Linked DNA regions of Caenorhabditis elegans. The protein of the gene in region 2 interacts with the protein of the main gene of each other region in a pairwise test. Each region holds a gene or a part of one and is shown on either strand. Other genes may lie near its edges. The genes, in order: sma-2 and coa-4.

Region 1 (16,606 bases), on a different chromosome or scaffold from region 2:
AGAACATTAAAATCGCTGATTTCGGTCTCTCGAACTACATGACAGATGGTGATCTTCTCTCGACGGCATGTGGATCTCCAAACTACGCGGCACCCGAACTAATATCAAATAAACTTTATGTGGGCCCTGAAGTTGATCTATGGTCATGTGGAGTTATACTTTATGCGATGCTTTGTGGAACTTTGCCATTTGATGATCAGAATGTTCCAACGTTGTTTGCAAAAATTAAAAGTGAGAAATTAAAAGTTAAAACAATTTATTTTGATTATTTTAATACAGGTGGCCGATACACAGTTCCATATTCCATGGAAAAACAAGCAGCCGATCTAATTTCTACGATGCTTCAAGTTGATCCTGTGAAGAGAGCTGATGTAAAACGAATTGTTAATCACAGTTGGTTCCGTATCGATCTTCCATATTATTTGTTCCCAGAATGTGAAAATGAATCATCGATTGTTGATATTGATGTGGTTCAGAGTGTTGCAGAGGTTCGACTTTTAAAAAATATTCTGAGAGTTTCTAAAAAAGTTAAATTAAACTTTCACATTTTTTGGTTCTAGAATACTATTACAATAATTTCTGATTATTTTTTTTAAGTGAATTTATTGTTAAAATATACAAAAAAACTGAAATTCAGAAAACCCCACCAGAAAAAATAATTTATTTTTTCATTTTTCGACATTTTTTGGTTTTTTCATAATTTGAAGCTATTTTATATTTTAAGAAGCAAAATCCCCTTTCATCGAGAAATCGAGAACCGAAAAGTAAAAATGTACGAAAAAACTATAAATTCTTATAAATTATATACTTCCATGAGTTAAGATGAAAATTTATTTTTAAAAAATAGAAAAAAGACAGGAAATCATGGGAATTTTTTTTTAACCGACAGCAACACCTGAAACCTTTTTTTTTCAGAAATTTGATGTGAAAGAAGAAGATGTAACTGGAGCTCTACTTGCTGAAGATCATCATCATTTTCTCTGTATTGCATATCGTCTTGAAGTAAATCATAAAAGAAATGCCGATGAATCTTCTCAAAAAGCAATGGAAGATTTTTGGGAGATTGGAAAAACAATGAAAATGGGAAGCACTTCGTTGCCAGTCGGTGCCACCACGAAAAGTGAGAAATCTGAAAGGAATGTTGCAAAAGTAGTCGGAAAGTTTTCAGCAAATGTTGGTCGAAAAATCTTGGAAGGACTGAAAAAAGAGCAAAAGAAATTGACATGGAATCTTGGAATTCGTGCATGTCTTGATCCAGTTGAGACCATGAAACATGTTTTTTTGAGTTTAAAATCTGTTGATATGGAATGGAAAGTACTCAGTATGTATCATATTATTGTTCGTAGCAAACCGACTCCAATTAATCCGGATCCTGTGAAAGTATCTCTTCAATTATTTGCTCTCGATAAAAAAGAGAATAACAAAGGATATTTACTCGATTTCAAAGGACTCACTGAAGACGAAGAAGGTTTGTATTTATTACATAAACACGAAAGTTCACGATTTTTGGGCTAAAAATACGGTGCCTGGTCTCACCACGACAATTTTTCGTAAATTACGAAAAGTGCGCCTTTGAAGAGTACTGTAATTTCAAACTCGTTACTGCAAATTTTTCATCAATTTCTCATAGATTTTCTATGAACAAAAGATTTCTTTATCAAAATACTAAAGTAAAACAATTAAAACACAATTAATGAATTATAGTACTCTTTACGCCTTTTCGCACTTGACATAAATTTGTCGTGTCGTGACCTGGTACCGTATTCTTCGAGTGAAAATAGCTATTAATATTTTGTTTTAAAAAAAAACTTTCAGCTGTTCCACCGAGTCGTTGTCGTTCCCGTGCTGCGTCCGTATCAGTAACTCTCGCCAAATCGAAAAGTGATTTAAATGGAAATAGCTCGAAAGTTCCAATGTCTCCACTATCTCCAATGTCTCCAATTTCTCCGTGTAAGTTTAATTTTGATGAAAGAAAATTATTTTAAAATGAATTTTCAAAAAAAAAAATTTGTTTTTTCAAAGAAGGAGTAGCAAATTTTTCACAAAAACCCCCAAAGAGTAAAAAAAAAACGAATTTTCAAAAAAAAAATCGAAAACACGAAACCATTGATTTGTAGTTGGAGAAAGATATTTTCGAATTTTTTAAATTAAAAAAAAATAGAAAAATTAAGAAATGATTTAAAAATTATTTAAAATTCGAATTTTTTTTTCTGCAGGACCAGGAAAATTTTAGTTTAGAGTGTTTTATCTAGATATTTTCTCAGTTTCGATCAGTAAAAAATTTGAAAAAAAAACAGTTCGTTCAAAAAATTAAAAATTTTGACATCACTGACGCTACCTTCAAGCTCATTTCATTAAAACGAAACAATTTCAATCATTTTTTTAAGTGGTTCATTTTCATTACTCAATTTTAATATTAATTCAGCTGTCAACATTCCAAAAGTTCGCGTTGATGACGCGGACGCCTCGCTGAAATCATCGTTGAACAGCAGTATCTACATGGCTGATATTGAGGTTTGTTATAGAAAAATATTCGTTCTTGGTTCTTTTTTATAAGCATTAAAATTTCAGAACTCAATGGAAAGTCTTGATGAAGTTTCAACTCAATCTTCGGAACCCGAAGCTCCAATTCGTTCTCAGACGATGGAATTCTTTGCAACTTGCCACATCATCATGCAGGCTTTGTTAGCTGAATAAGAACATAATTTTATGTTTCTATCTGTATAATGATATGTATTTTTCGTTTCTTTTTCAAAATTCATCTTCTCCCGGTTTCACTTTTGCCCCCCTTCATTCCCCTCAGATGCCTTTTTTCTCTTCAAAGCATGTACTTAAATTGGACGTCTTTGTTTGTTTTTTTTTTGTTTTATTATTCTATTTCTGATTCCAATTCAACAAGGTAGTGTTATTTGAAAAATAATAAAAATGATTCAAGAAATTGAAGAAATTGGCCGTGGAGTTGGACCCATTGTAGACAAAACTCGGTCGAGCCACTGAAAATTGTATTATTTCTAAAGAAAACAAGAATTTCAGAACTTACAGCCAATGGAGCATGAAGATGAATTTCAATCCAACAAGGTGTTGAAGTGACATCTTGTCGTTGATATTCAGCTCCCCAACCTTTGACAAATGACATACGAATAAATGTCATTTTTTGTAGATCAAATGAGGCGTCGAATCCACGGCGACTGCAGTCCTCGAGAAGCTGAAAAATTTAGTTTTTCTTATTAGGTCTCCAAATAAGTTCCGGGTCAAAAATCATAACTTTGTTCACTGCGTATCGATTTTTATGAAACTGTGGGAATTTATGTTATCAACCATGATCTTTCATTTGACAATAGTCACAAAATTTTTTGGCCGTCCGAAGTGCCCTAACTCGGAGCCAATGTTTTCAGGCATTTTTCAGATCTCGCTTCTTTTACGCTTTGATTTGAGGTTTGTGTGCGGATTTAGCTTTGTTTAGTACACAATGTAAGAAAACAAGAAAAGTTTAGAAAAAAATCCGTCCAAAAAAAAATTTTTTTGTCGGTCGTCAAAAAATGCTCAAAAAAGTTTTTGTCGAAAATTCTTGATTTTTTATACAAATATGATGTAACCATGTGCAAACTATTTATTTTGCACATGGTTACATCATTTTTGTATGAAAAATCAAGAATTTTGGACAAAAATTTTTTTGAACATTTTTTGACGACCGACAAAAAAAATTTTTTTTTTAACGGATTTTTTCCAAACTTTTCTTGTTTTCTTACATTGTGTACTAAACAAAGCTAAATCCGCACACGAACCTCAAATCAAAACGTAAAAGAAGCGAGATCTGAAAAATGCCTGAAAAATTTGGCTCCGAGTTAGGGCACTTCGGACGGCAAAAAAATTTTGTGACTATTGTCAAATGAAAGATCATGGTTGATAACATAAATTCCCACAGTTTCATAAAAATCGATACGCAGTGAACAAAGTTATGATTTTTGACCCGGAACTTATTTGGAGACCTAATAGTTTCAGTTACTATTTTTTGCCCAAGAACATGGCTTCGCCAGTTTTAATGTGTGTACCTTTAAAAAGTACAGTAACCCAGTTTTTTTCAAAAAGTATAAGAATAGGCTACCGTACTGCTTAAAGGTACACATATTGCTGTGAGACTGCAATTTTAAGTTATTTTGTGCGTGACGAGACCTTTTCTTGACTCAAACATTGCAATTACGTGAATTAGCTTACCTGTCTAAAAATCTCCATATCGAAAATCTTCAGTGAACACTTATTTGCAATTTTAACAACAGTTGTTGAGTGAAATCCATTGATATAATTACAATTACTAGATTGTACGAATATAGCTGAATCACTTTCACATTGAGCAAAGAGTGAGCCATTGCTACGTACGTAGGTTAGCTTGACACCTGGAATTACAAAAAGTTTGAAAATTTTCAATTTTTTAGTCATAGTCTTGCAAAAATTATGCGCCGAAGTACGGTACCCAATCTCCCGAAAATCAGGTTACTGTACTTCTTGAAGGCGCACGCGTGTTTTGCTCGGCCTTGATTTGAAAGTAATTCGTTCGTGGCGAGGCCGTGGGTGCTCTTACCGTTTCCAATATGTCTTCTTGTATTTTCAATAGTTGCATTTCGATTTACATTCGAAAACAGTCCCAGGCTAATTTTGCTTCCATTGATGCATGGATCAGTGAATCCATCGATAGTTATAGTTGTTGAAGACACTTTAACCTGTTCTCCGACTCTTGTATTCAATTCATAATAGCTAACAGTTGCCCAGAATTGTTCTTCCCAAACTTTATCGAATGGCACGAGACATGTTGGAACTCCTGGTGGAATGTCGAATTTCTGAGAAGTATCCATTTCCTCAATTCCATTTGGATTGTATTGATGAAATTGGTTGGCTCTAGAAAATTATTTATTAAATCCCTAATTAGAAAATATATTGATAATATTTCAACCTTTTTTTCTTTTCGTAACCTTTTCCCTCTCAAAGTTATTTTGGATCCAATTTTATTTACAACTTGCGACGATACTCCGGAATTCCACCGCATGCTGTTTATCGTAAATATTGCCTACTTTTCTTATCACTGAAATTTTACATCATTTTACCAATTTTTCTTCATTCTCTTTGAATTCTCAATTTTTCTAACTTAATCTTAACTTATATCATTTATCTATTTATTATTTTGTAGATATAATGGTCGAAACGACTGGAATCAGCGACCAAACGAAAAAAGTGCTGATCGGTGTGGCAGCTGCAGCGACAGTTGCAGGTGTAGGATACTTGGTATATAAGAGTTTTGGAGGTTCAGACGTGAGTTTCTAGTGTACAATGATATCAATTTCAAAACTAATTTCAGCTGGAAAGGGACTTGGAGGAAATAAAAGCATTGGGAAATTTGAAGTTTAAAGAGAAACAATACGATTCCGCACTAGAAGCATTCACAAAAGGAGTCGAAAAGGCCGGACCAAACTCTTCTGATCAAATTGTCGCAATGCTCTACCAAAATCGTGCAGCCTGTCGTGAAAAGGTTGGACACAGCCCTTTTGATATCCTCAACGACTGTATGGCTGCATTGAAAGTAGACAAAAAATACACCAAAGCATACTTGAGAGCAGCAAAAGCACTTAATGACGTCGGAAAGAAACAGGATGCTCTGGCGTGTGAGTTTCTGAAGATGTTACGAGAAAAGTATCAATTCCTGTTTTTAGATCTTCTTGCCGCGTTCACTTTGGATTCTAGCCTGAATAAGACGAATTTCGAATTCTTTGGAAAGCTTCTTGCTATAGAACCCGTAAGAGCCTAACAATTTCTTAAAGAAACTCAACTTTTTATTCTAGATGTCCGACTGTCACATTGGAAAACCACTCAAAATCGAAGATGTTAAGCCACAGCCAGTAGCTTTGTTCAGAATTCAGCAGTGGTGTGATACTTGGGATATTCTTGATCTTTTCAAAACAGATCTCACCAGATTCGAACCAGAAGTGCTCAGTGAAGACCAGAAGTAAGCTCTAATTCTAGATATACAGTAAAAATAATTATAAATTTCAGACAATACCAACTTGCACTGGAAAAGTTCAAAAAAGGAAAATACGAAGAACTGATTGATCTGCTTACTGAGGAAAACAGCTATCCTCCGGCAATGATCTTGCGTGGAAAAATGCTAAGCTACAGTACTGATCCTAACGAGGCAACGAGATATATCGATAAAGTTGGAGCAAAAATTAACGAACTGATTGGATCAGAAGAGGATGAGGAACGCAAAAAACTAATGAGAGATGCTTTCGATATTCTCAAGATTGAGCTAATGTATACTATGGCAGATTTGGATAAGTTAGTTTTTTTTCTTGATTTTCCAAAATATTTCCAGGTCTTGTCTAATTTTTTCTAATTTTCAGATTCCTGGAATCAGTTCCAAAAGACGATAAGGAAAGACTTTTCAAACTTTATTCGTTTGCATCTATTTTTGTGGTAATTCGATTAAATCATTTTTATTCTCTAAAAATATGGTTTCAGTATAATGGATGTGTTCTCGATACAGCAGTGACGAATCATGAGCAACAAATGATGGCGGATACAGTAAATTTAAATTCATAATTTTCTTATTTATAATTATTTAATTTTCCAGAACAATGCCAATAGACTTCTCACAGAAGCTGAAAAGAACGGAACTCTCACTCCACATCTTTCCATGATTGTTACATTCCTGAAGTTGTGTACCAGCGAAGACTACGCTGATGTTCATCGACGAATCCGAGAAATGGAAGAACTCGCAGAGAGTAGATCTACTCATTTCAATCTGGTTCTTATGTCCAAAGTATATATGATGACTAATAATGAGGAGAGCTCGAAGAAGTTGCTCGAAGAGGCTGCAAGGATTACTACGAGATATTTGGTGCCAAGTAGGCATTTGCAGACTGCGTAAGTTTAGATTTTAATTTTCTGAAATTCGCCGACTGGTACCAGTTGCCGAGATTTTATGAAAAAAAAAATAAAACAAAAAATCGAAAATTAAAAATTTTTTTTGACTTTTCGATTTTTTTCAAAAAAAAAAAAAAAAGAATCGAAGAATATACTCATAAAATTCGATTTTTGAAATAAATTTTGTTTCTGTTGTTGAAAAAAGAAGAAGTATAATTTTCTTTTAAAAGGAAGGAAAATGGCAAAAATTTAAGCTATCGGAAAGTTGAAAAATCAAAAAGTGCGAATTTTTTGTTCAATCACGTCATTAGGGACCAGCCTGCGAATTTTAAATTGAAATTCCCATCGGCTTCTAAGTTCTACGTTAAATACAATTAATTTTCCAGTGATCTCCACGTGCACAAACCAGAAGCTGAACGACTCAGATTGACAACTGAAAGTGCCAACGCAGCAATTGCAGTTGATCCATTCAATTTCTCGGCTCACGTTCTTCATCTTTTGGGAACTAACGGGCCAGAGCCGATGATCAAGAAGTAAGTAAAAAAGTTTCAGAGTTCCACTAAAAAATCCAAGTCCTTTCAGAGAAAATTACGAGCGAGCAATGGAATCAATTCGAAATGCAGCTCTATTTGCCCCACCACGAGAACTTCTCATGTTGAAGAGAATGATTCCATTGATGAATGCTAAGAAACGTGCAGCTGAAATGCTCGATATGTATTAATTTAAAGAATTTTTGAATAGTTGATAGGCTGCTTTGTTACCTGTTTTTCCCCTCATTTCCCCGTTTTTTTTTTAAGTTTTCGGGTTTCTCAAAATCAACCCATCCGTTTTCCAGTTCCGTTCCTTACCTACTGTGTTCGTTTTCTTATTTTATTCTTCGCTTTTTTGTTTTTTTGTTCCCGATAATCTCATAAATACCAGATATTTCAATTTTTCTTCAATCAGTAATACCATATATTTTTTAAACACTTACGTAAAATTAACGTTTGCCATATTGACATTCTGCGGCATTCTTGATCCGCTCATCTCCATCAACTGAAATTTCGCCAGAGTTGGGGGCACTTCTTGTGGTGGTTTCTCGGAATAACGAGGTACAAGAACTGGTGGAAGTACTCCAGTTGCATGAACTCTTTTGTAATGATATGGATTAATGCAAATATCCTTTTGCCCTGATTCGTAGCAGAATCGGCAATCTTCAATTGCTTTCAATTCATGATGTGATTGAAGATCTGGCCAACGATAGACACGGCAATATATCACATGAGGAAGTGCCTGAATTTTTAGTACATAGGATTTGGAATTGTTCCTAACATTTTTTCTCAGAGTGGATTATTTGAATTTTCTGTGAAAAATGATAATCTCCAGCTGTTCAAACAAGCATTTCACGAAGAAGCTTCATTTCAAAAAAAATTGAAAATCGAACAAAAGATCAGCTAACGTTTATAAATTTTTTAAACTTTTAAATTTCATAAATTTAATATGATTTTTCATAATCTAGGTTAAGTTTTGGCTGGTGTAATTTTTGTGAAAATATCAAAAAATTAGCAGAAAAATCTATGTTTTTTCTAATATCGTTAGGATGTACTGTAGAAATTATGCAAATTTATAAATTAAAAATGCAAATGGGACTGACACGTGGACTTTTGCCCATAAAATCAAAAAAGATCAAATCAATTTTTGAAATTGTTCAAACGACTAGTTGACACAATTTTACAATTTAAAAATTTAATATCATTTTTCAAAATCTAGTCGGTCGATTAATCGAATAAGTAAGTCTGTCTCTGTTTCTAGTTGATGTTCATAAACAAATAGGGCACCCCTTCATTTTGAATTTGTTTACTTCTTCTCCCCATTATTCTCTTATTCTATACTAAAATCACCTTTCGATGCGAAATTTGAAGTCGTCCATCTAGTGACCGCGGAATTGTCACGCATTCGGTTTTTTGTTGTCCTTGGCACTGAAATGATATAGTTATTGATTTGAGGTTATTCTACGATTGAAATATCGGATATATGTAGTTTTTATTGATTTTTAACGAGTTTAAAGTATGTGTAGTCTATTGCTAGATTATTTCATTTCTATTCATAAAAAAGAAATCTTAAGATCAAATTGAAAGATTCAAAAGACACAAAACACATGAACCCTCAACGCGAATTCCAAATTTTCCAACGCCTGCTTGTTATGCTTTATCAGCTTCTTCATCAAGTTGTCGATCGCCTTTTTTGCCCAATTCTCATCCTCGTCTCCTGTAAAATACTTATTTCCGTCAGAAATCCGATTTCAGTTTCGATTCTAGATTTCCGCCGTTGATTGTAATATTTCCCCACCCTATTGGTCTTTTGGACAAAAATGAGACTTACCTTGTTTCCATTTCAGTCTCTCCGTGATCTTTTTTATTCCGTCGAAGTTTATCTGAAAGGTTCGTGGTTTTTTGTTGTGAAATAAAAAATGGTTATACAATTTTATCTATTTTCGAAAAATAAGAATTCTTGGGAATTGGGTTCTGATACGAATGAAATTTTTCAGCTACCGTACTCTCTATTACTATTTGTCTCTCTTGTCTCGATTTTTTCAAGAATTTTATTGTAGAAATCACATATTTTGGAAAAATGTTTAAACTACGTCAAATATTAAAATATGTAAAACGGAAGGTTCAAACTTTGAAAGCTGAGAATTTCAAAGTCTATGGTGTTCACGGGGTACTGTAGCTGAAAAATTACACACGTTCCAGGACTCAAGGCCCTGGTTTTGAGGAAGTAATAATAATTTTTACAAACTGGTAGTGGTTAGACAATATCGAGAAGATATTTCAGTTTCTTATTTCACAACAATATTTTGGGAAATTTTTAAACAAATTCTTTATAGGAAAACATAAAAAATGTAGCTACATTTTTTGAAATTTTTAAAAATGATTTTCGTATTTTTTTCAAAATTTTAAAGACTCATTGAGTTCAACAATTTGAATTCTATTTTTTTTTTTCTTTAAAAAATTTGAATTACAAAATTTCGAATTTTTTTTGAATGTTTATTCTTAAATACAAATAAAAACTTACCATGATTCTAATCTTCTTGAAATATTGTAAAAACTAATAGATCACAAGAAGATTCTATAAATAAGAAACATTGAAAATAGCCTGTAAATGCGCACTCCTTTACCTTTTTTTCTTTCTACCTCTGTAGCCTCTCTAAAGTGCCTGGTATCTCATAAATTGTTCTCAGCTTCACCAGCCCATCATCAACCGTCTAACTGTCTACTCATTGTTTTCAACTCTCCGTCTCTCCAAATTGTGCAATCATCTTCACAGATGTGTTTCCACCCGGCGACAGTCAACTTGTGTCCCTGCGCCCCCGTTATCGTCATTAGTAGCCAACTAGACATCATAGTATAGTAGAGAGACTCAGAATATATAAAATGAGACAGTGTTTGAAATAGGAAGACTTAGAGACGCAGAAGGGCGACAGTCTGGAGCCAAGCAGGGAATTAATGGAATTCATTTATTCATGTTTGAAAGGAAAACGGTATTGGGGAATATTCATCACTTTTGTTTGAGAAGGGACCAGGTGTCATCGGATAAAATAGTCTATGGTTGTTGTGAAGGTAGGCTTTGCAAAAACCGGTCTCACTAGATCAAGGAACACCAGAAAACACACTTTTTTGAAATTGTGTTGCTTTTGTGCTTAAATTAAGAGAAAAATTCTTGCAGCAGAAAATATTTCACGCCCTAAAATTTTGATTTTCATGGTTTACAAATTACCGAATTTTATCAGAAAGCATAATTTTCTGAAAAGAAAAGATTCCGAGAATCTCAAAAGATATAGAAATTTCTAGTCTGCTCTATGCACTCATTCAATATTTACATTTTCTATATAATTTCAATTTTAACGAATTTTCATAAGTAGATTCTTTGACAGAAGGTCAAGTAGTGTCTTGTCCTTGAAATTTCCTTCTTTGTTAATTCATGTTGCTAAGGAACATAAGCGTTGCTTGGAAGCATCGGAAAATGTTATATTTTTTTGTTCTCAATGCATTTTCAAATATTTCATTTCTAGAGAATATCTATCTATTTTTCAGTCTTTTAAAAAGTATCAAAAAATGATTTCATGGGTTTTATCATCGCGTTTGTGAATAATGATACTTCCTCTCAATTTTATGCATGAACGTGGCGTTTTTACAATAAAAAAGAGAAGAATGATCTAGACAAACATACACCCTTTTTATCAGACATCATACCCCAATAGCACATTTTCTTATCTTTTTTTTTCTGAAAGCATTTTTCAATATTTACTGATTATTTTTTATGAAATATACAACTTTCAGGAATGAAATTCCAAAATGTACATATATCACATCAAGATGAGGACAAGGAGAAGCTACTGCCAAACGATAAGGATGTGGAGAAAGCGGATGGTAGGAAGTTTCTAATATTATACAGTTTTCAAAAAGTTTTGGTATTTCTTCAAAAAAAAAACTTTCCGTAAAAATTGAAAAAAAAAATCGAAAAACAAATTATCGGAAAATTTACTCTCGACATTTTTTAAGTTTTCGTATGTTATTTTAAAAATTTATATAATTCCTTCTCAAAACTCTGTATCAAAATGCCAAGTATTTCAGAATCCCCGTCATCATCTCGTCCAAGTTTTGTCTTCAAATGCTATGTTATTGCCAGTATGACATTCATTTGGACAGCTTACACATTAACAATCAAATACACAAGGAGTACTGTAAATCCAGATATGGTAATATATTTTGAAATATAGTTTTGGAAGACTTTGATTATTGAATTTTCAGAAATTTTTTTTTTTCAAAATTCAAAATTCAAAAAGTTTGACAATAAAATACAATTGATAATTCATAGCGAAATATAAAAAATCATGTTTAACTTTTCTGAAAAAAATCCAAAGTGTGAAAACGGTTTTAAGAAAAATTTTTTTTTTTTTGATCCCAAAGCACCAAAAAAACACACAGAATTGATACAAATATTTCAATTTTTCGAAAGTATGCATTTTTATTTCAGATGTATTCTTCAACATCAGTAGTCTTATGTGCCGAAATTTTGAAATTAGTGATCACATTTGCAATGTTCTACAAAGAATGTAACTTTGATAGCAGACAATTTTCCGAGGTAGATCTACCGTATTCTTTGAAATCTTAAAATTATAATTTACAGCAAGTCAGTAAATATTACATAAATGCTCCACGAGAACTTGCCAAAATGAGTGTCCCATCGTTTGCGTATGCTCTTCAGAATAATTTGGATTTTGTGGGATTGTCGAATTTGGATGCGGGACTTTATCAGGTAAATTGTCATAGAAATATTAAAAAATATATAATCAAAAAACCTTTTTTCCTATGAAAATAACAAAAAGAATCAATTTTTCATTAAAACCAAACAAAAAAAATTTTCAAAAAATAACCAAAAAATTAAAAGTTTTTCCAGGAAAAAAATCGAGTTTTTCAAAATAATATGTTTTTTCTTTTTCAAAAAAATCCATTAAAAACCATTAAAAAATCAATTTTTCCCAAAAAAAAAACCCAACTCTTTTTTTCAGAAAAAAACGATGCAGAAATGTTTTGTTTTAATTTTTCACAAAAAACCCTTTAAAAGCCAAAAAAAAAATTCTTTTTTTTTTCTCCAAAACAAAACAAAAATTATTATTTTCAAAAATCCAAAAAAACCCTACTTTTTCAAGAAAAAAATTGCAGGTCACAACTCAATTGAAAGTCGTCTCTACAGCTTTTTTCATGATGCTCTTTCTCGGTCGAAAGTTCTCAACTCGTCGATGGATGGCAATTACACTTCTAATGTTTGGAGTAGCATTTGTTCAAATGAACAATGTTTCTGCATCAGAAGCCAATACAAAACGAGAAACTGCTGAAAATTATATTGTCGGATTATCAGCTGTACTGGCAACGTGTGTAACTGCTGGATTTGCTGGAGTCTATTTTGAGAAGATGTTGAAAGATGGTGGAAGTACACCATTTTGGATTCGTAATATGCAAATGTACAGTTGTGGAGTGGTAAGTTACTGAAATTTCAAAATTTCCTAGTTTATTTACTTACCATCCAATTGAATAAATCAAACTTCTGAAAGTTAAAAAAAAATCAGAAACTATTTAGGGTTTTTTTTTCAAATCGTTTGAAAAATAGAGATTCGAAATAATTGAATATTACTAAAAACCAATTTAGACTTATTAATAAAATCTAAGCTCAATTAATCTCAGAAAGTCGAATTTCGAAAATTTCCAATTTTTTCCAGATCAGTGCTTCAATCGCTTGTCTCACGGATTTTTCGCGGATCTCCGATAAGGGATTTTTCTTCGGTTACACGGACAAAGTATGGGCAGTTGTGATTCTTCTTGGCGTTGGAGGCCTCTACATTTCTCTTGTGATGCGATATCTTGATAATCTGTACAAATCAATGGCTTCAGCAGTCTCTATCATTCTAGTTGTTGTTCTTTCGATGCTCATATTTCCAGATATTTTCATTGGAATGTATTTTGTACTTGGAACCATTTGTGTTGTTCTTGCTGTTCTTTTGTATAACTCTGTTAACGAGTAGGATTCACAATTTGCTTCTTTTTTTCAGTTTTAGAAAAACCATCATTTTTTGATTACACATTCTTCCGGGTTACTTGATTTTTCTGTGTATTAGCCAAAAGCTTTAATTGTATAAACTTAATGCTTGGATTTCTTTGTATTTTTGGGGTTTTATTCTATTGCATTTTTTGTGTTTTTTTGGATCGTGGTTTTATGTTATAAACTTCCTCGATTCTCGATGGCAAATAAAAAGCATTCATATTTTTTCCTAATTTGTTCCAATCCACAGAATTCCTGACCAATTGTGCGAACGCTCTGGAGCAGAAGCAAGGGCTCCTCCTCTTTCCTTCTTCCTGCTCTAAAACTATAAGCCATTAGTGCTCAGGTGGCTCATAAATTCTCGCCAAATAACAGAATTCCAATGGCTCCCTGGAGATATCTCGCAATTTGCTCAGTCAGTAGTTTGGCAAGTGTGTGTTTGACAGGAAGGATGCATGTGGTCGATGTTTAATTAGATGGGAATTCAGAAAAAGAGACGACAGAAACGGATTGGCGGCGAATGGAACTGAAAAGATAGAAAGATGAACGAAACTTTCTCTTTTCTTTTTCAAGCCATCCCAATGTCCGAGCATTTTTTTATATATTTTATGATCAATTTCGACCATCCATTGATTATCCGAATTTTCTAAAACTCTTTCTTGAGTGTGCACGGATTTATATGAATGGGTCTCACCGCGAGTTTATGGTAGCGTTTTTTTCTCTTAAATAACATATCAAGTTCTGAAAAACAGAGACTTCGAATTACAGCCAATTGCAATTTTTATGGTACATGTCTTTTGGAGAAATTGTCTGAAGTACCTACCTTTCTAAAAATTATTATTCTTTTCTCAGAAATGATGCCCGGATTCTTTTAGTTAACTGTATTTCAATCGTTTTTTTATTGAGAGTTGGAAATTTTTCGAGAATATTTATTTGGTCTTTAGGTTTTTTTAAATACTATTTTCGAATGTTCAAACCTTTCTGCCAAGCTGGATTATTTTAAATAAATTTCTCAAACACTCAAGCCCTTCACAACTTAATTTTATAGATTTTCCCAGAAGACACAAAATTTTACAAAACTTTCCCATCATTTCAAAAAACTCAAAAAACACTAGAAACCCATTGTCAATAGTTATACACCCTCATAATGTGTTCGTTTTTTTTTTCTTTGAGAATCCTTCTTCTCATCTATCTTCGTTACCTAATCCCACTGAAGGTTCCCATTTGTTTTGGACCTTTTGTGTAGGATTCATTTTAACATCTGAAATTCAGTTTTCGTATAGATATTGAATATCACAAAGCTTCTGAAATTTTAAATATTCAACAGCAAACCGACTTTTGTACAAAAAAATTGCTGTCCCTCAAATATCTCAAAACATTTTTCCATTCAAGTAGTTTATCAGATTCCGTTCTTTTTCCATCTTTTCTTTTTCTTTTTCCAAATCCAATTTACATTTCCTTCGTCGTTTTGTCATCTGAACATTTTTGATGCAAAAAAAACTCCTAACAATTTTTCAAAAAATATTCCTAACATTAGGGAAAACGAGGTAGAGAAGAGATGAATGAAAAATGAAAACGACGGGGAGCTGAAGAAGCAGAAGTATAGAAAGAGAAGAGCCTTTTGAAATGGAATGATGTAGAGAAAGGACATTCATAGAACAAATTCACTTTTTGGTTATTTGGAGAATAAAGAATCAAGAATTTTGAATCAATTCTCGACTCACTAAAGTTGACTTCCAATTTGTACTTTTAAGCGACTTTTTGTTTTATAACTACTTTCGTTTCTCTGCAAAAGTTTTCGGATAATTTTTTTTTGAAAAAAAAATAAGCATGAAGACGGATCCCCTTTGTCTCTCACGATTTTCAGACCAGACCGCGGTCTCTGAATTGTGAAATGGATACAATAGAAAAACTTCAAAAATCAGCATTTTTGGCAACTCAGAAACTCAAAAACATGGTGCATTCAAAAACTATCGCATACAGTCCAATCTTATCTGTTCAACTGTTTTTGAAATTGAGAGTATTTCTTCTTATTTTTACCTTACCATAATTCCTGAGAAAGAACTCTCGTTATGTTTATCTTCAACACCGTATGTCTGTAACTTCTCATTTCTCTGAAAAACCAAGAATGCGTGAGTATGTATTGTGGGTACTGGATAATAAGAAAAAAAGAAGAAACCCGATGGAAAAGAAGACGAAGAAGTCTCGGCGTGAAAATAAGATAAGAGGACTCGACTCGATTGAATTACGGGGAGAAGAAGCAGAAGAAGAAGGCTTGACGACTATTCCCTTCTCTCAACATCACAATTTTCATACTTCACTGGATATAACAGTTACTTTTCGGTTTTTCTATACTGGTTAGATATGTGAAGCCTTGTATTTAAAAAAAAATCTGAACGGTATTCTATTGATTAAAGTCCTGTATGTAGATATGGGATTTTTTTGGAATTTTCGAACTAAGAAAAATGTTAAAACTTATCATTTTCATACTCTTGTTGTAATACATTTATGGAAAATTATAGTTTATGCTATACCAAGATCCGCTCTTCTCTGGTTCTTCCAAAAATCTAAAATGCCCTATAAACTATAAATACATTTCAGAATGATTCTACTTGCTTTTCTAATGTTCATACCTGGTGTGGAGACAAAAGAAAGTCCAGTGAAATGTGAATATTCTGATGAGAAGAAAGTTAGCGAGTGTCTACAGGTATTCTTATATTTCAAGACGGTTTGAAAACATTTTATAATGAAAAACTGGTTACATCATTGAAAATAATTTGTTCAACATATTTTAAGAAACAAGTTTCAGTTTTTAAGATTTAAATTTAGAAAACATAACTTAAATTAACTACCATTAAAGTTATGATTCTTTCAAAAAATAAATGCATTGAAACAAAAGCTAGGTTTTTGAGCGCCAATGTCTTACAATGAAAAAATTACAGCCAATGCTTGACTACGCTACAAAACTTCAAGCGGAGACCGGAGCTATGCAGTTTCCACTTCAAGGTGGCCAAGTTTTCAACCAACTTTGCTCTATCTACACCGATTTCAAGGTGAGGTTGATCTCATTGCTTTGAATATCAAAAATATGAACTCAGAAAATTGGTAAATTTTT
Region 2 (13,440 bases):
GCGTCTCTCTAAACTCTCTAGTCTCTATTAATTATTGATAAGAGTTGGCAAAGAGTAATCGGATTTATTAGTTCAACAGTTTTAGAACATAAAGGACATATATTTCTGAAATGTAAACTTTATTTTTTCGAGAGGACGCCTCAAATGGGATGAAAAATGTATAACAAATAACTTTTAAAAAATTTAACAAAATATTAGAAATTACGAGAGTTGAAATATTATTTCCGTGACCGCTAGAATCGAAAGGTCAATCGTCTATATTTAAAGGAGATTTCTGGCAGTTTAAATTTATTTCGCTGACAACGAAATTAAAATATGGAGAGCAAGAAACGTTCTAGTGATAAGGTGAGTCAAACTCTGGATTTCATTCACAATTTATGCAGTAAACTGTTCGTGAAATCCTTTTAAAAACTAACTTTTACAATTAGAGTAATTTTCCAGAAAAGCACTGAAGTTGATTCGATGAGCGACAAAGAAAGTCTTTATGTCTCTGCAAGTGATCAGCCACCAGCAGAGATTACAATCAAACTTGAGAAGGATACAAAAAGAAAGATCACAATTATCAGTGAAGTTGAGAACCCAAAACGTGCTCGACGTGGATCAGCTGATCTTCGACGTCAGGCTATTGTGAATAGTGCTATCCGAAGTGCTCAGTCTACTGCATCTTCTCGTTCCAGAAGTAGAAGCCGAAGCAGAAGCCGATCGACAATGAACCAACAAATCCGCCTTGCTCGTACTAGATCTGCAAGTGGTGGCAAGCTGAGAAGATCTAGAAGTGCTCGTCGTCGGTCTCCATCATCGTCAGCATCTCGTTCTCGATCTAGATCAACTTCACGTACTCGTGCTCAATCAATTCCAATTCGCTACAGAGATCGTCCAGAAAAGGTAACAAATTATGTATTCCTACATCCATCTAAATATTCTATTTCAGATTGAGAAACCTATTCAACCTCTTCCTCCCCTTCGCCTCCCAACACATTTGACCAAAAAAAGTTCAGTTGGATCAAAAAAACTGCCACCACCGGATTGCATTAATCTTCCATCTCCTCTTTTTATTCTCACCGAGCAACAAGTCATTGGTGCAAGTGAAAAGAAGACTGTTCAGTTTGTGACCAAAGTTCTTTTGACTTCCAAGAAGCTCTCCCTTGATGACCGTAAGCTGTTGTTTGCTGAAATGGTTGAAGCTGAGTATGTTGGAACTTCTCGTTCGTCAACAGATTTGAACAAGTCATCAGACGATGAACCAGAAGAAGAGTTTGCTACGAAGATTCACTATTCCTCCAAAGGAATTTATATTCATACAGTGCAGAATGTGAGAAAGATTCGTTCGGGTAAAACTTCGTCCATCACAGAAGAGAAGAGCTATGCAAACATTTGCAAGACGAAAATCTCGGGAGATCATGGAAAATCAACGGAAGGATTTCTGAATGTTCAATGTTCGGAAACTATTTCTGTTGTTGATCAGAAGTACATCAGATCTGAGGAATTTAAGATTGGTCTTACTGGGGTTAATGTCTCTGGGTGAGCGATTTGTCAATGGTAAACTTTATCTCATTTAAATTTTACAGAAATGTTTCGATTAACTCTTCCAAGACCACATTTGATCCAACCAAGACTATCACTTTCAGTGAGGATCTCATGTTTGACAGCAAAAACATTGGGTAAGTGACTGTTACTTTTTAATAAAAGCGTAGGAGTCTGATTAATTTATAAATGTAGTTTGAAATCAAAAACTTTCAGAATCACAATTCGTCACAGTTCTGTCGCTGAAATGAAGGAAATGTGGCATCACGAAATGGGATCATTTGGAGAAGAAACGTCAGAATACAGAGAACTCAAGTTCTTCTTCGATGAGAAAAAGAAGGATGATAACAAAACTGTTGGAAAATCAGTGGTATCTATTCTCCAAGGAACGAAACCTTCTGCACCTCCAGCATCAACCAGTTCATCTTCCAAAAATTCTTCTTCCATCAATTCTCCAAAGACTCCGAATATTTCTGGTTCTTCGCGTAGATCTCGTTCTCGTGCCAAGAGACATAAGGCTCTCCAAAAGAGGGATAGTAAAACTAACAGAACTCCAAGTCCTGATAGACAGTCATGCAAGAAGGATGCTCGTCCAGATCAGGATCCAATCAAGTTGAGTGAGATTAAGGTTTCAGAGCATGTCGACTCAACGGGGAATGAGACTTTTTATCAATCTTTCCCGAAAGCCACGTCCACTCCGAAAAGTCCAGCTTCTTCTCTCAACTCTTCAGTTCTTGAATCCAAAGTGAAGAATTCCATGCAGAAAACTCCCGACGAGGGTCCGTCTCGGCGTGGTGCAATGAGCATTAGAGAGCGATCAGTTTCAAGAAACGGTGACAATGAAATTGATTTGGATAAAAGTTTGAGCTTGAAGAAACCATCTGCATCGAAGAATTTGGCCAGTTTGTTGGAAAAGAAGGAAGAGGCAAGAAAAACTGATGTAACATCTTCCATGATCAGTTCAAAACCTCCAACTTCTCCTGGCACCTCCGTCTACATGTACAACACTGGATCAGCCAATTCGACTTTTATGTCTGCTAAAGATTTGCATAAAGAACGTGTTGCAGCTTCTACTGGTCCCAGATCTGCTTCAAAATCTCCAAAAGGAACACTTCGCGTGAAGGAAACTAAAGTCATTCGTGAAGTTCGCCAAGAAGATGGAAAGCCACCTGAGATTAGTGAGAAGAAAGAAGAAACTGTGAAAGAGGAAAAAGTGAATCTGAGTGAGAGATTGAGAGCCAGATCGAGAGCTTCATCTCCTGCAACTCCAACTTTGAAGAGAACATTCAATCAGACGGATGAGTCGAATATTGTGACTTTGAGTGCAGGTTAGTTTAATTCTTAATTTTTATATATTCAGTCAAAAATATTATAATTTTAAGTCAAAGAAACCCATCAAACTTTGGAAATGACACCAATCAAAGTGAATTCTGAAACAGTTCCTTCAACTTCTTATGGACAACGTGCTTTCCCTGAGAGTGTTCAATTGGATATGCTCATTGACAAGAAACGACTTGTGCTTAATGTTAATTTCATGCTTCTTGCTGAAAAACATCCAGAAGTTGAAATTCTTGGTTTCACATTCAAAGGACAAAAGTTGTGGGAAAAGAGCTCAGAATGGAATCTCACAAGTGCAAATACTACTAGTCATGTCAGTTTTCTGTATGTATTTTCATTTTCTGAATGTTTTGATTTTCAGACTAAAACAATTGCTCGTCAAGCCAGTAACATTTTGGGAGATGAAGAGAAAAAAGACGAGGAGCAAAAATAACTGGACTACTACTAGATACTTGAACTGAACTGATGTATTGAGCCATGAAAAAATGAATTTTTATTGAAATTGTCCATTCTGTTAGTCGAGAAATGTTTTTATAGAAAGAGCTTTCCGAATGCCTAAAATTTACAACTGTTCACTTTGCCAGGTCTGTGTCTTGAAATGGTATCCGCATTAGGCCGCAAAGGGCCCATTTTTACGCTTCACGAAAACGACCATATTCGCACGTTGTTTGTGAGCCACCCGAGTGAGATGGTGATCTAGGCACCATCAGTTCATTAAGCCATTTTCATCTAACAGTGCAGGAAGAAAGACAATTACATTTTCTCGAATTCGTTTCTCTATCTTCAAAATTTGAAAGATAAAAAAGGTAAAATTTTCAAATATAAAACTTTCGAAAAATTCATAAAGGTATCAAACATCAATAATTTCTGATTTTCAATTTGCAAATTATTTCCTCTAATTTCCATTTCATCATGCAAATTCATTCATTATAATTTCAAAAAGTGTTCCATATAAGCCGGCTGGGAATTGTCTAAACAGACTGGTTCAAAAAATGCGTCTACTTCCAGTAACTCTTCTCTTAGGAGCTGTCATCTTTGTTTCCACCAAAAGTACCTGCCGGACAAGAACTAAACCTCCAAGTACTGTACCTATGAATGAAGTAACTGAAGCTGTAACAACCAAGAAAGCAAGCAATGTTACCGTTAAACCTACAACATGTGAGGCAAGTTGGACTCGAGTGGAAAGATCAATTGGTGGATGGTGTCTGAAGGTTTACAATGGATTTGTTCATCAAGATCAGGCTTCTCAGGCTTGTATTAGAATCGGAGCTGAACTATCTGGAAGTGAAAGTTCTGCTGAAAGAGCTGTTATTGCAAGACTTGGAAAAGAAAGAATGCTCGCTGCTTCTGACTATAAATTTGGAACTATTCGAGTTGGAATTGCAAGACCTACTACAACTAGAGTGAGTTTTTCAAGAAAAAATATGAAAATAAACTTGAAACTTTCTTTTGACCGAGTTGTGTTAAAATGAAGTCTTAAATATTTAGGCTTGGGCACTCACCGATGGAAATAATGATGGAGGTCAGCAAGGTATTCAATGGAGTAAGGGAGAACCACAACTGGGTCCAACCAGCGGATATTCCCATAATTGTGCTCTTATGTGGATTTGGGCTTCAACTGGAACCAGCCCTTATGAACATGGAAAATACTTTCACAAGTTTGTCCACTTACTTGGAAGGACATGTACAGAGGATTTGTTTGTGGAAAGCGTGCTACTTGATTTTTAATGTTCTAAATTAATTGATTATTCGAATAAAATCTTATTTTTCTTTTTTTGCATTTGTTTTCTTTCGATTTAAATATACTTCTTCAGGTCATAAATTCTAAGGTCGATGTGGCAGCAAATAGTATAGAAAAGAACAGATATGACGCAAATAGGAAAGAGGCGAGACGCTTTTGTGACGCCTCGGACAGATTTATATAATTACAGTTGTTTTTGTTTCAGTCTTTTTAGTAAGATGTTTCATTATAGTTGCGAAAACTCCAGACCAGTATTACCCACAACTTCAAATTTTAACATTTTTAACGAACAAATCCAATTTATCATATTAAACTTTAAAAAGATATTAAATGTTCTTGATAGAAAAGTAAGAATTAGTTGGTTGAATCAACCATGCATCTGAGTCCCCAGCAAGAGTTGTCGAAAGTGATACGGAAGTTCTCACATCCAAAGTATCCAGCCTGCAATTATTTAAACTTTTTTTCAGAAAAGTTTCAACTTTGAATTCTAAATTTTGTTATTTTGCCTTTCTGTGTATCAGAAGATTTTTAAAACTCACTCCTCCGACTCCACAGGCGGCATTGTAGGCGTCATTCAAACAGCTTCCAGTTTGTTGAACTGCTCTGAATATGAACAATTGAATTGAATAAAGTAGATAGTATTTTTCCAAACATAGTTCAAATGGTGGAGTACGAGTAAAATTGCGAATTTGCTTTGGAGATAATTCAAACAGGGAGATTTGTAAAAAATTGGGAAATCGCGAATTTTTAAATTGAAATTTTCAGTCCTTCGCAAATTGTTCTTCATTTTAAGTATTTTAAAACAAAATGCATTAACCATATTCCACTTTTGATGTATTCTTACTATTCATAACTCACGGGCAGAAGTTTCCAGCAGACACTGTTTGATTGAAGTTTTGAATGCAAGAGTTATACGCATTTGTAGTTGGGAAAGTACCGAGACAGTCCCATTGGCTTACTACTTCTGGAAATAGTAAAATAGTGGTAAAGAAGTCTTTGGTGAATCTTACCAGAGAATCCTCCGACGCACATCCACTCGAGTCCACGGAATGTTCTAACATAATCGAATGCTGAAATATAATCATTAAAAAATAAATTTCAATTATAATATGAAAAAAATGTTGTACGTTCGAATTGCCATTCACGACAGGTCGAAAATCTCGATATCTATGAATTTACTCACTGTTCGAGAAATCAGGTTGTGGCTTGTTGAGAAGAGTATAGAGATTCATACAGGTATAATAAGAAGATCCGAGGCATTGGTAGAATTGAGTACGGGTGCTGAAAGTGTCATTGGATTTGAATGTTTGAATTTATTGAATTTATTAGCATGCAATACTTATGAGTTCACTAAATATTTAAAATTTAAACAGTAGTAAGCAGTAATAAACAATGAAGCCTAGAAATGAGTCTATGATTAATTTGTCTTATGCCCGGTCAATTTGACAATGAAACTTTCAACTGTTATAGTGGAACATGTTAAGTGTGAAAAACGACGAGGAAATTGAAATTTAACAAATTGAACATAATTATCATGGCTAACATAGACACATATAAAACCAAATGGCGAAAGTTTCAGAAGTGATATAACATTTTTTAAAGTAAGATCGTTCACAAATAAATTTTTCCTAACAGATCACCACAATACCACAATATTCAATGTTTCAACTCACTTGCAAACCTTGATAAGTTCTGTAACATTCATTTCCAAATATTTCTGAACTGTATTGAAAATGTAAGATCCATTGCGCCAAGAAATAGAATCATCCATTCCAAAGAACTGATTGAACGTTGTCTAGAAAATTTTCATTGAAACTATAATTTTATTTTTGATGATCAGTTTTCATTACATACAAATACTTATTTTTCTACAAACCGCTATCGAATTTGCACCCGTAAAAGGTGTATTGGATATATTAAATGTACCTGACAATAATTGAATTGAATATCCTGACAAGCAGAAATGGCAGCATTTTGAGGAGTCTCACGGAAAGCCATTAATTGAATAAGATCATTTGGAAGAGAATATGGTAGAAGGAATGCTGCTTGGGAAACTCCCACAAGTACAAGAAGAGCCAATGCTATTGTACGCATTTTCTAAATAATTTATAATATCGTTCAGGTTCAGGGAGGAAATTGACGGTAAGTGCAGAATTTTGAAGGGGATTGGTGATGTCATCTTAATTTTTTTTTTCTTAAGCTTTATTGGATATAAATATAGAACTTTGAATAATGCGACAGCTTGAAGTTAGATTTCAAAAATAATAACCGGTTCTTCTTTACTTAGTCTCAGTTGTATGTGACACTAATGTTTTTTTGGAGATTTGAATGACTAAGGGAGGAAACACGATAATATAATATAATATTGTTTATTTGTCACAAGAAAGAGCTACACCGGAAGATTAAAAAATAAATAAAATGATGTGTGAACAAATAAGTAAAATGACCAGTATAAATTGCAAAATATAGTGTCCAGAAATTGCAAATTCGAGCGTCATTTTTCTTATAATGTTTGACGTATTTTTGATAATTTCCATGAAGTTAAAAAGTTTTCCAGAAAAATAACAACCAAAAAAACATTAAAGAACATTGAGAAATTTTGGGTACTGTAGCGGGAAATTTTCAATCGTGCCAGGACCATTGACAGTAAGTCCGTAATTCATGGAGATGTAATAATAATAATGAAGTGGATTTTAATTCATTATTGGGAATTTCAGAAATTCTATTAGGTTGGTCCGGAAGTCTTTATAACTGGGTTTGCTTTTCCACCGCTCGCCACAGTTGCACTTTGGTATTCCCTCGTTGCTAGTGAATAACAACAAGAGTAGGAACTTCATTGTAAGCAACACCTCATTCCCTTTCCTCTGGCCTGAAGTTAGTCAACCAACGATGTATGTCCCTAGTGCGATCCACATCCGATATGGTTTGATGTACCTCTTCCTCTCTCATACCACGATGAAGGATTCGGAAAGTCTCCTCAAGAATGTTTATGATTCACATGTTCCCTACTATAATATCATACGCAATTGGTTCCAAAGCTTCGAGAAGGACGACTTTTCTCTCGAAGACTCTGAGACCCCATAAATTGGATTTGGACACGTTGCAGAAAGCCATGGCAACGGATCCTTTCCAAATCACCCGTGAGCTGTCAACCACACTTGGGTCCCGTCAAACCAACATTGTACGAGGCTGGGAACCTCTTGGAATAAAGAAACTTATGGGTCAATTCATACCTCACACCTTGACACAGGCGAATCTTGATTTTTTAGTGGGTGATTCCTTTTCCCTCCTCATTTTCCACGGGGCCGATCGATGGTTGGGCCGACTCATTACTGGTAACGAGAAGTGGGTCCTCTACGATAACAACCACAAGCGTGCTCAGTGGATTGGAGAATGAGAGACACCACAGGATGCCGCCAAACCCGACCTTCACCCCAAAAAAGGCATGCTCTCAGTGTGGAGGGGAGTGTAGGGCCCTTTCTACTGGGAACTGCTGCCTGAGGGCAAAATGATTAGTGGGGACATCTACGTTATCTAACCATGGAACATGAAGGAAGTCATCGATGGTTCACCCCTGATGGACAAGCAATTCTGTTTTCAGCAAAACAACGCTAGTTCCCACCTCTCGAAACAGGAAAAGTAGGAACATACCAGCCATGGATGGATGGTTCTCCTTCACGCACCGTATTCTCCAGACCTCACTCCATCTGAATACTAGTCGTTTTCAAATATGACCCGTGTCCACGAGCGGAGAATCTTCAATACCCAAAAAAGTGCCAATGTAGCACTCAAGCATTATTTCGACTCGCGCCCGGAAGGGTACTGTTAGCAGGGCATTAATAAGTTGCCCACACGTAGACAGTATATTGTTGATAATGATAGCGAATAAAATGTATCCTATCGTTTCTCTTGCTTCGAGAAATAAACGATTGAAAAAGTTATAAAGACTTCCGGACCAACCTAATACTTCACCGTTTAAAAAACTTGGAAAATGTGAAACATAAATTTTTTTGACATATCTGGTGAAACAACTATATTCAAGAGAACAGGAAAAATTAGCAGAACAGCAAAGCTGAAGGATGGAGCTGTACTGAGTCGTTTTACGGGGGCTCGAATCTTCGCCTCTCGCGCGGAAAGTTGAATGCAAAGAAGGCAGAAGATAAAGCGGTTCTATCACGACCGTATGGAATATCTAGTTTATTTTAATCAAATAAACTACTGAAAATTTTCTCCCAACAGTACAAAAACCTTAGATTTTCAGTATAAGAAGTTTTTTGAAAATAAATTTAACTTTTACATCTTGTTTTTTTTCAAAAAAATATTAAAAAAAGAACGGTAAAATTTGAAAAAGTGACGTTTAAAGAAAAAGTGAGAAGCTGACTCAAAAAAAGGGCAGGGCGTCGTCAAGATTCTCGACCGTGTGCATACACACCGAATCGTGGCAAAAATTATATGATCGTGTCGTCGCAGCACATTTGATATCACCTTGGCATATCAGTATAGGTTATCAAATCGAATTACGTGGACATTGAATGCTTTTTAACTGGATGATTATTGAGGAGACACACCTCGTAAAAAGGAAAACTGTTAAAATGGTTTGGGGAGAGTGTATGTCACTCCCAATTCTTGTTATGCAAGTTTGCAGTAATGAACTTTTTGAAAATTGCAAATTTTCAGATACGGAAGCCAACAAAATACAAGTAACAATTAAACGATAAGAGAAAAAATGAAACAATGAACAACCTAACAAAATAGCCTAGAAAATTAAAATGACAAAAATGGAAAACGATGAAAGAAGTCTTCAATTGTGGCTGGTTGATCTGAAACTGGAATTAATTTGTTTTTGGAGCGACTTTCATGAGCACGAAATTCTGAATTTGGAGTGGATTCGACTGTTGTGGTGTCTTTGTGAGAGTTGATAGAAGAGTGAATTGATTCGATCTGAAATTGAAGATAACGAAATTATTCATAATTTGGGAACTATGGCAATGCATTTCTATCTAAATATAATTTCTAGGTTTTTTTAAAATAAAATCAACTCTATATTTAGAGAAGTCATACTAACATACTTTAAATATAGAAAAATGTATTCACAAAAGTTCAGAATTGATTGCTAATGAATGTCTAGATCACTTTGAGGTTTTGGGAATAATATTCACTATTTTATATGGTACAATTTATAAAATGTTTTTAAATTACATTTGATAACTCACAATATTACTTTCCAATTCTCCTTCCAACTCATTTAATTCTTTTGTTATTTTCTCCAATCTCTTCTTCAATTTCTCCTGAATAAATCCTTTGGAATGATCGATTTCATACTTCAAAACTTTCTTCATTTTCAATTTCAGCCCAAACATTTCCAACTTCGTGAAATATTTTGAGCCGATTTCAAAAAGCTGCCAATTTTCGAATGATCCACACAATTGACAAAGAAGTGCCATCTAGAAAACTCGGAGTTGTATTATGTTTGCATTCGATAAAATACCGTGTTTTTGAATTCTTTCTGATAGTTTGATGTGAAAGGTAACTTTGAGAGAAGAAAAGCTTTTGTTCGTAGAAACTGAATTTGATCACCAAAATCGACCAAAATGGATTCGTAGTAGGAAAGAAATTGTAGAGAAATTGAAGTTTCAGGTGAAGACAGCTGAAAAAAAATCATATAAAATTTATAGTTTCATATACTAAAAATAAAATTACCTCCGATGTTTTTTTGATGGAACATTGGAGAAGAGAATCGATTAGCATTATTTCATGTGTACGATTGTTTTTCGTGCTTTCACGGAGCCCGGTGAGAATCTAAAATTGAAACTTTTGAAGTTAGAATATGATTTACAAGTAAAAAGACAAAACACCAATAAAACGTCACAAAAAATTTGGAACGCTTCACGAATTTGCGTGTCATCCGTGCGCAGGGGCCATGCTAATCTTCTCTGTATTGTTCCAATTCTAGAACATATACTAAAATTGGAACAATACAGAGAAGATTAGCATGGCCCCTGCGCACGGATGACACGCAAATTCGTGAAGCGTTCCAAATTTTTAGATCTTTTCAGTGGCGTTTTGTGTTTTGTACTTTTAAATTTAAAAAGAATTTCAGGTTGTTCTATGTTTATTTTTGTAACAAACAATTTCGTAATTTTTTACTTCTGAAAAGTTAACTCACCACGACAAATTTTTGTTAAATCCGAAAAGGCGTGCGCTTTTGAATAGTACTGTAATTTCAAGCTTTTGTTTGGAGAAATTTTTATAGATTTTTCGTAGTTTTTTGATGAAAAATATAGTTTTCTTATTGAAGTTGAAATATATAACAATAAAAACCTTGAATTTAAAATCTAGAGAGAAACAATGAAAAATCGATGAAAATTCCGCAGCAGCGAAATTCTGAAATTAAAGTACTTTAAATGCGTACGCATTTAACAAAAAATTGTCGTGTCAACACCGGGCTCATAACTTCCAGCCAAATTTCGGATTAAAACCAAAAATTTAAAAATGAATGATTCTTACATTTTCAGCGCATTCGAAATCCCCATTATGATAACAATCAGCCACTCGGAACAAGTCAATTTCACTGAAATTACGAGTTTTATGTGAATAAAAATTAATCCAACTTACGTTATTGCAGTCGCTGTTTGATTTTCTTTTAAAGCATTACGATACCAATATTTTTCATGGAAATTCGGTTTGAAAGGTAGATAAGTTGGTTTTTCTTGATGTTTACAATTATTTTCGTCATCGGAAGGGTCAAAATCATTGAGAAAATCCATTATTCTTTGTTTCTGATTCTTCTTTTGGTGGCTCACCGACTTGAACGCTTTGAACACAGGTTCTGAATTCTTTTACCTAAAGTATATTTTTTTTAATAATAAAAAGAAAAAAGAAGAAAACAAACCACGTCTTGACACTTTCTCCAATCTCTATGTTCTCCCATACAATCCGAGACTTTTAGATGAAGATCCCAGCACCCAGACTTCCTGAAAATAATATTTTTGTTTTAAATTTCAAAAAAATTGCATCATATTTCATACTTTATGAGTGACTCGACACGGTCTTCCTGATCGGCGTTTCCAGTCCAAATATGAGGAGATTTTGGTGCTTCCTTAGTAGCAGTTGGAGCAGCAGTTGACATTACCCTGTGACAATTTTCTGTTCTTTGGTATTTTATTGAAAAATAAAAAGAAGCAACGTTTTCGAGAAAAGACAGACAAAGCGTAGGATGAGAGATTTGGAGTTTAGAAAGAGACGCAGGCATTGAGAGAACCCTGCAGTGTACATCGCTCGGGGTGCCGATTTTCCGAGTGAAGTACACAAGAGTAGTTAAAATTGAAACAACTCGGTTTTTTTTTCAATTTTCAATTTTGATTATACTTCGGCGTTATCTCTTTTTCTTTCTCTTTTCGATAATCGGTGAAATTTTCGCACGCAACCTTGGCTGCGACGGTGAAAAATTGCCGCAGAACTATTCCGCTAGTTAGGAACATTTTTTGATAATCTTAACAAGCGACTTTGCTGTCCACCACGTGTTTTACACGTTATTTTATTTTTGAACTTGTAAAAAGCTTTTTTAATATAGTTTTAATATGAAAACTAGCAAATCGGAGAGCCGCGCCAGCCCTTCGGTAATGGGGATGCCCGAAAAGGTAGCTTGCGCAGGTTCTCGGCTTTGCCTCAAACCTGAGATGGGGATATTCGAGATTTCCTTGAAATTTGGGATCGATTGATTAAAGAACGAAGCTTCTGCGATGGTTTTGAGCTGAGATATGAGCGATTTAAGTTTGAGGAAATCTGGTTAGTTGGCTTGAGCGAATAACAATCTGCTTGGAATAGGATTACAAGAGGAAAAAAGGCTGAAAATAAGAAAGACAAACGAAATTTCGAAAGAAAAACATGAAACCTCTTCTCTGAAAAACGAAACAGAACAATCGAAAAAAATTTTGTACAATCTTGTTGTCCGAGAGGAGTTCGTGTAGAAGAATATCGGCCACGGCCACCGTCGAAAAATTTGGATATTTAATTTATTTCTAGCCCGAATTAAAGCTTATTCTAAACTTTTGGAGCTGTTTTTTGATGTATTTAAAGAACAAAATGTGTATTTTATTGAAAACTGATCTGTATATAGGTTTAATTTGATGAAACTTGTCTTTTCTGCCCGCGAAATGGTGTGGCCTAGAAAATTCTAAAGAATATTTTCTTAATTTTATCTTTTGTCAACAAGAAGCTTGTCTCATGCTCAAAAAATCGTTCTTTTTCGAACTTTGACTGGTTATTAAAAATTAAACTTTTTCAGGTAATAAAAGCTCGAATTCCGCGCAAAAATCACGCTGGAGAGCAGTCGGAAGTCGGCGGACCCGGCGACCACTGTCGCTCATCGAAACCATTTGGATTTCTTGGCGGGATGGGGAGCCGGATGCATCGAAACATGCATTTTGTATCCATCAAATAAAATCATCTTTCGACAGCAACTTCATGGATTCCACGTGAAAGATGCAATTCAACAAATCAAATTGGAAGGCGTTGGAAAGTTGTACAGAGGACTATTACCTCCTCTAATAATGCGAACGACGAGTAGAGCATTAATGTACGGATTATATGATGAATTTCAGGTAATTTTACATGAAATATTTATATTAACAAGGATAAATAATTTAGATCTCCTTAAAATGTCCACGTTCACCTCCGAACTCTTCGTTTTCAATTTGTCACGCTCAAGCTGCATTTCTGTGTAAGTGATCAGTTAACCATTAATTTCTTTAAAATTAATATTTTTCAGCAGGAGTATGCGAAGCAATGCTCTGCCCGCTGGAACGGGTTCAAGTACTTCTTCAAACAACAATATT

The links.
Region 1: the proteins of coa-4 (region 2) and sma-2 interact in a two-hybrid assay, tested with the Caenorhabditis elegans proteins (one large-scale study listed by BioGRID).

What each region holds. Positions count from the first base shown.
Region 1 is NC_003281.10:8,743,327-8,759,932, reverse strand, and holds sma-2 (Dwarfin sma-2), read right to left. Parts: upstream 10,254-16,606; 5' UTR 10,070-10,253; intron 10,021-10,069; 5' UTR 9,970-10,020; coding exon 9,967-9,969; intron 9,326-9,966; coding exon 9,274-9,325; intron 9,160-9,273; coding exon 9,056-9,159; intron 8,871-9,055; coding exon 8,793-8,870; intron 8,185-8,792; coding exon 7,886-8,184; intron 7,839-7,885; exon of another isoform or gene 7,634-7,838; coding exon of another isoform or gene 7,495-7,633; intron 7,446-7,494; coding exon of another isoform or gene 7,299-7,445; intron 6,913-7,298; coding exon of another isoform or gene 6,620-6,912; intron 6,571-6,619; coding exon of another isoform or gene 6,508-6,570; intron 6,463-6,507; coding exon of another isoform or gene 6,390-6,462; intron 6,325-6,389; coding exon of another isoform or gene 6,043-6,324; intron 5,996-6,042; coding exon of another isoform or gene 5,832-5,995; intron 5,786-5,831; coding exon of another isoform or gene 5,703-5,785; intron 5,655-5,702; coding exon of another isoform or gene 5,351-5,654; intron 5,305-5,350; coding exon of another isoform or gene 5,188-5,304; exon of another isoform or gene 5,183-5,187; intron 5,042-5,182; coding exon of another isoform or gene 4,968-5,041; intron 4,894-4,967; coding exon 4,580-4,893; intron 4,530-4,579; and 9 more. Other genes in the region: aak-1 (5'-AMP-activated protein kinase catalytic subunit alpha-1), read left to right, coding at 1-231, 280-488, 916-1,120, 1,169-1,468, 1,816-1,950, 2,426-2,514, 2,572-2,697; Mitochondrial import receptor subunit tomm-70, read left to right, coding at 5,188-5,304, 5,351-5,654, 5,703-5,785, 5,832-5,995, 6,043-6,324, 6,390-6,462, 6,508-6,570, 6,620-6,912 and 2 more; ugtp-1 (UDP-galactose translocator 1), read left to right, coding at 11,234-11,321, 11,526-11,650, 11,929-12,036, 12,082-12,210, 12,618-12,932, 13,172-13,474; nssp-33 (DUF19 domain-containing protein), read left to right, coding at 16,094-16,198, 16,434-16,544. UniProt on the Caenorhabditis elegans protein: Involved in TGF-beta pathway. Plays a role in male tail tip morphogenesis.
Region 2 is NC_003282.8:9,324,156-9,337,595, forward strand, and holds coa-4 (Cytochrome Oxidase Assembly subunits), read right to left. Parts: upstream 11,448-13,440; 5' UTR 11,447-11,447; coding exon of another isoform or gene 11,371-11,446; coding exon 11,219-11,370; intron 11,175-11,218; coding exon 11,111-11,174; intron 10,648-11,110; exon of another isoform or gene 10,474-10,647; intron 10,403-10,473; coding exon 10,304-10,402; intron 10,251-10,303; coding exon 10,092-10,250; intron 10,048-10,091; coding exon 9,817-10,047; intron 9,545-9,816; coding exon 9,368-9,544; 3' UTR 9,142-9,367; downstream 1-9,141. Other genes in the region: F49C12.15 (Serine/arginine repetitive matrix protein 2-like), read left to right, coding at 316-345, 442-885, 932-1,521, 1,569-1,661, 1,741-2,852, 2,907-3,175, 3,224-3,295; clec-183 (C-type lectin domain-containing protein), read left to right, coding at 3,855-4,265, 4,351-4,590; nspg-7.1 (DUF19 domain-containing protein), read right to left, coding at 4,958-5,044, 5,143-5,206, 5,462-5,567, 5,614-5,673, 5,787-5,884, 6,277-6,398, 6,530-6,697; T20D3.14 (CHCH domain-containing protein), read right to left, coding at 11,354-11,446, 11,496-11,577, 11,632-11,732; slc-25A51 (Solute carrier family 25 member 51), read left to right, coding at 13,156-13,206, 13,253-13,325, 13,374-13,440.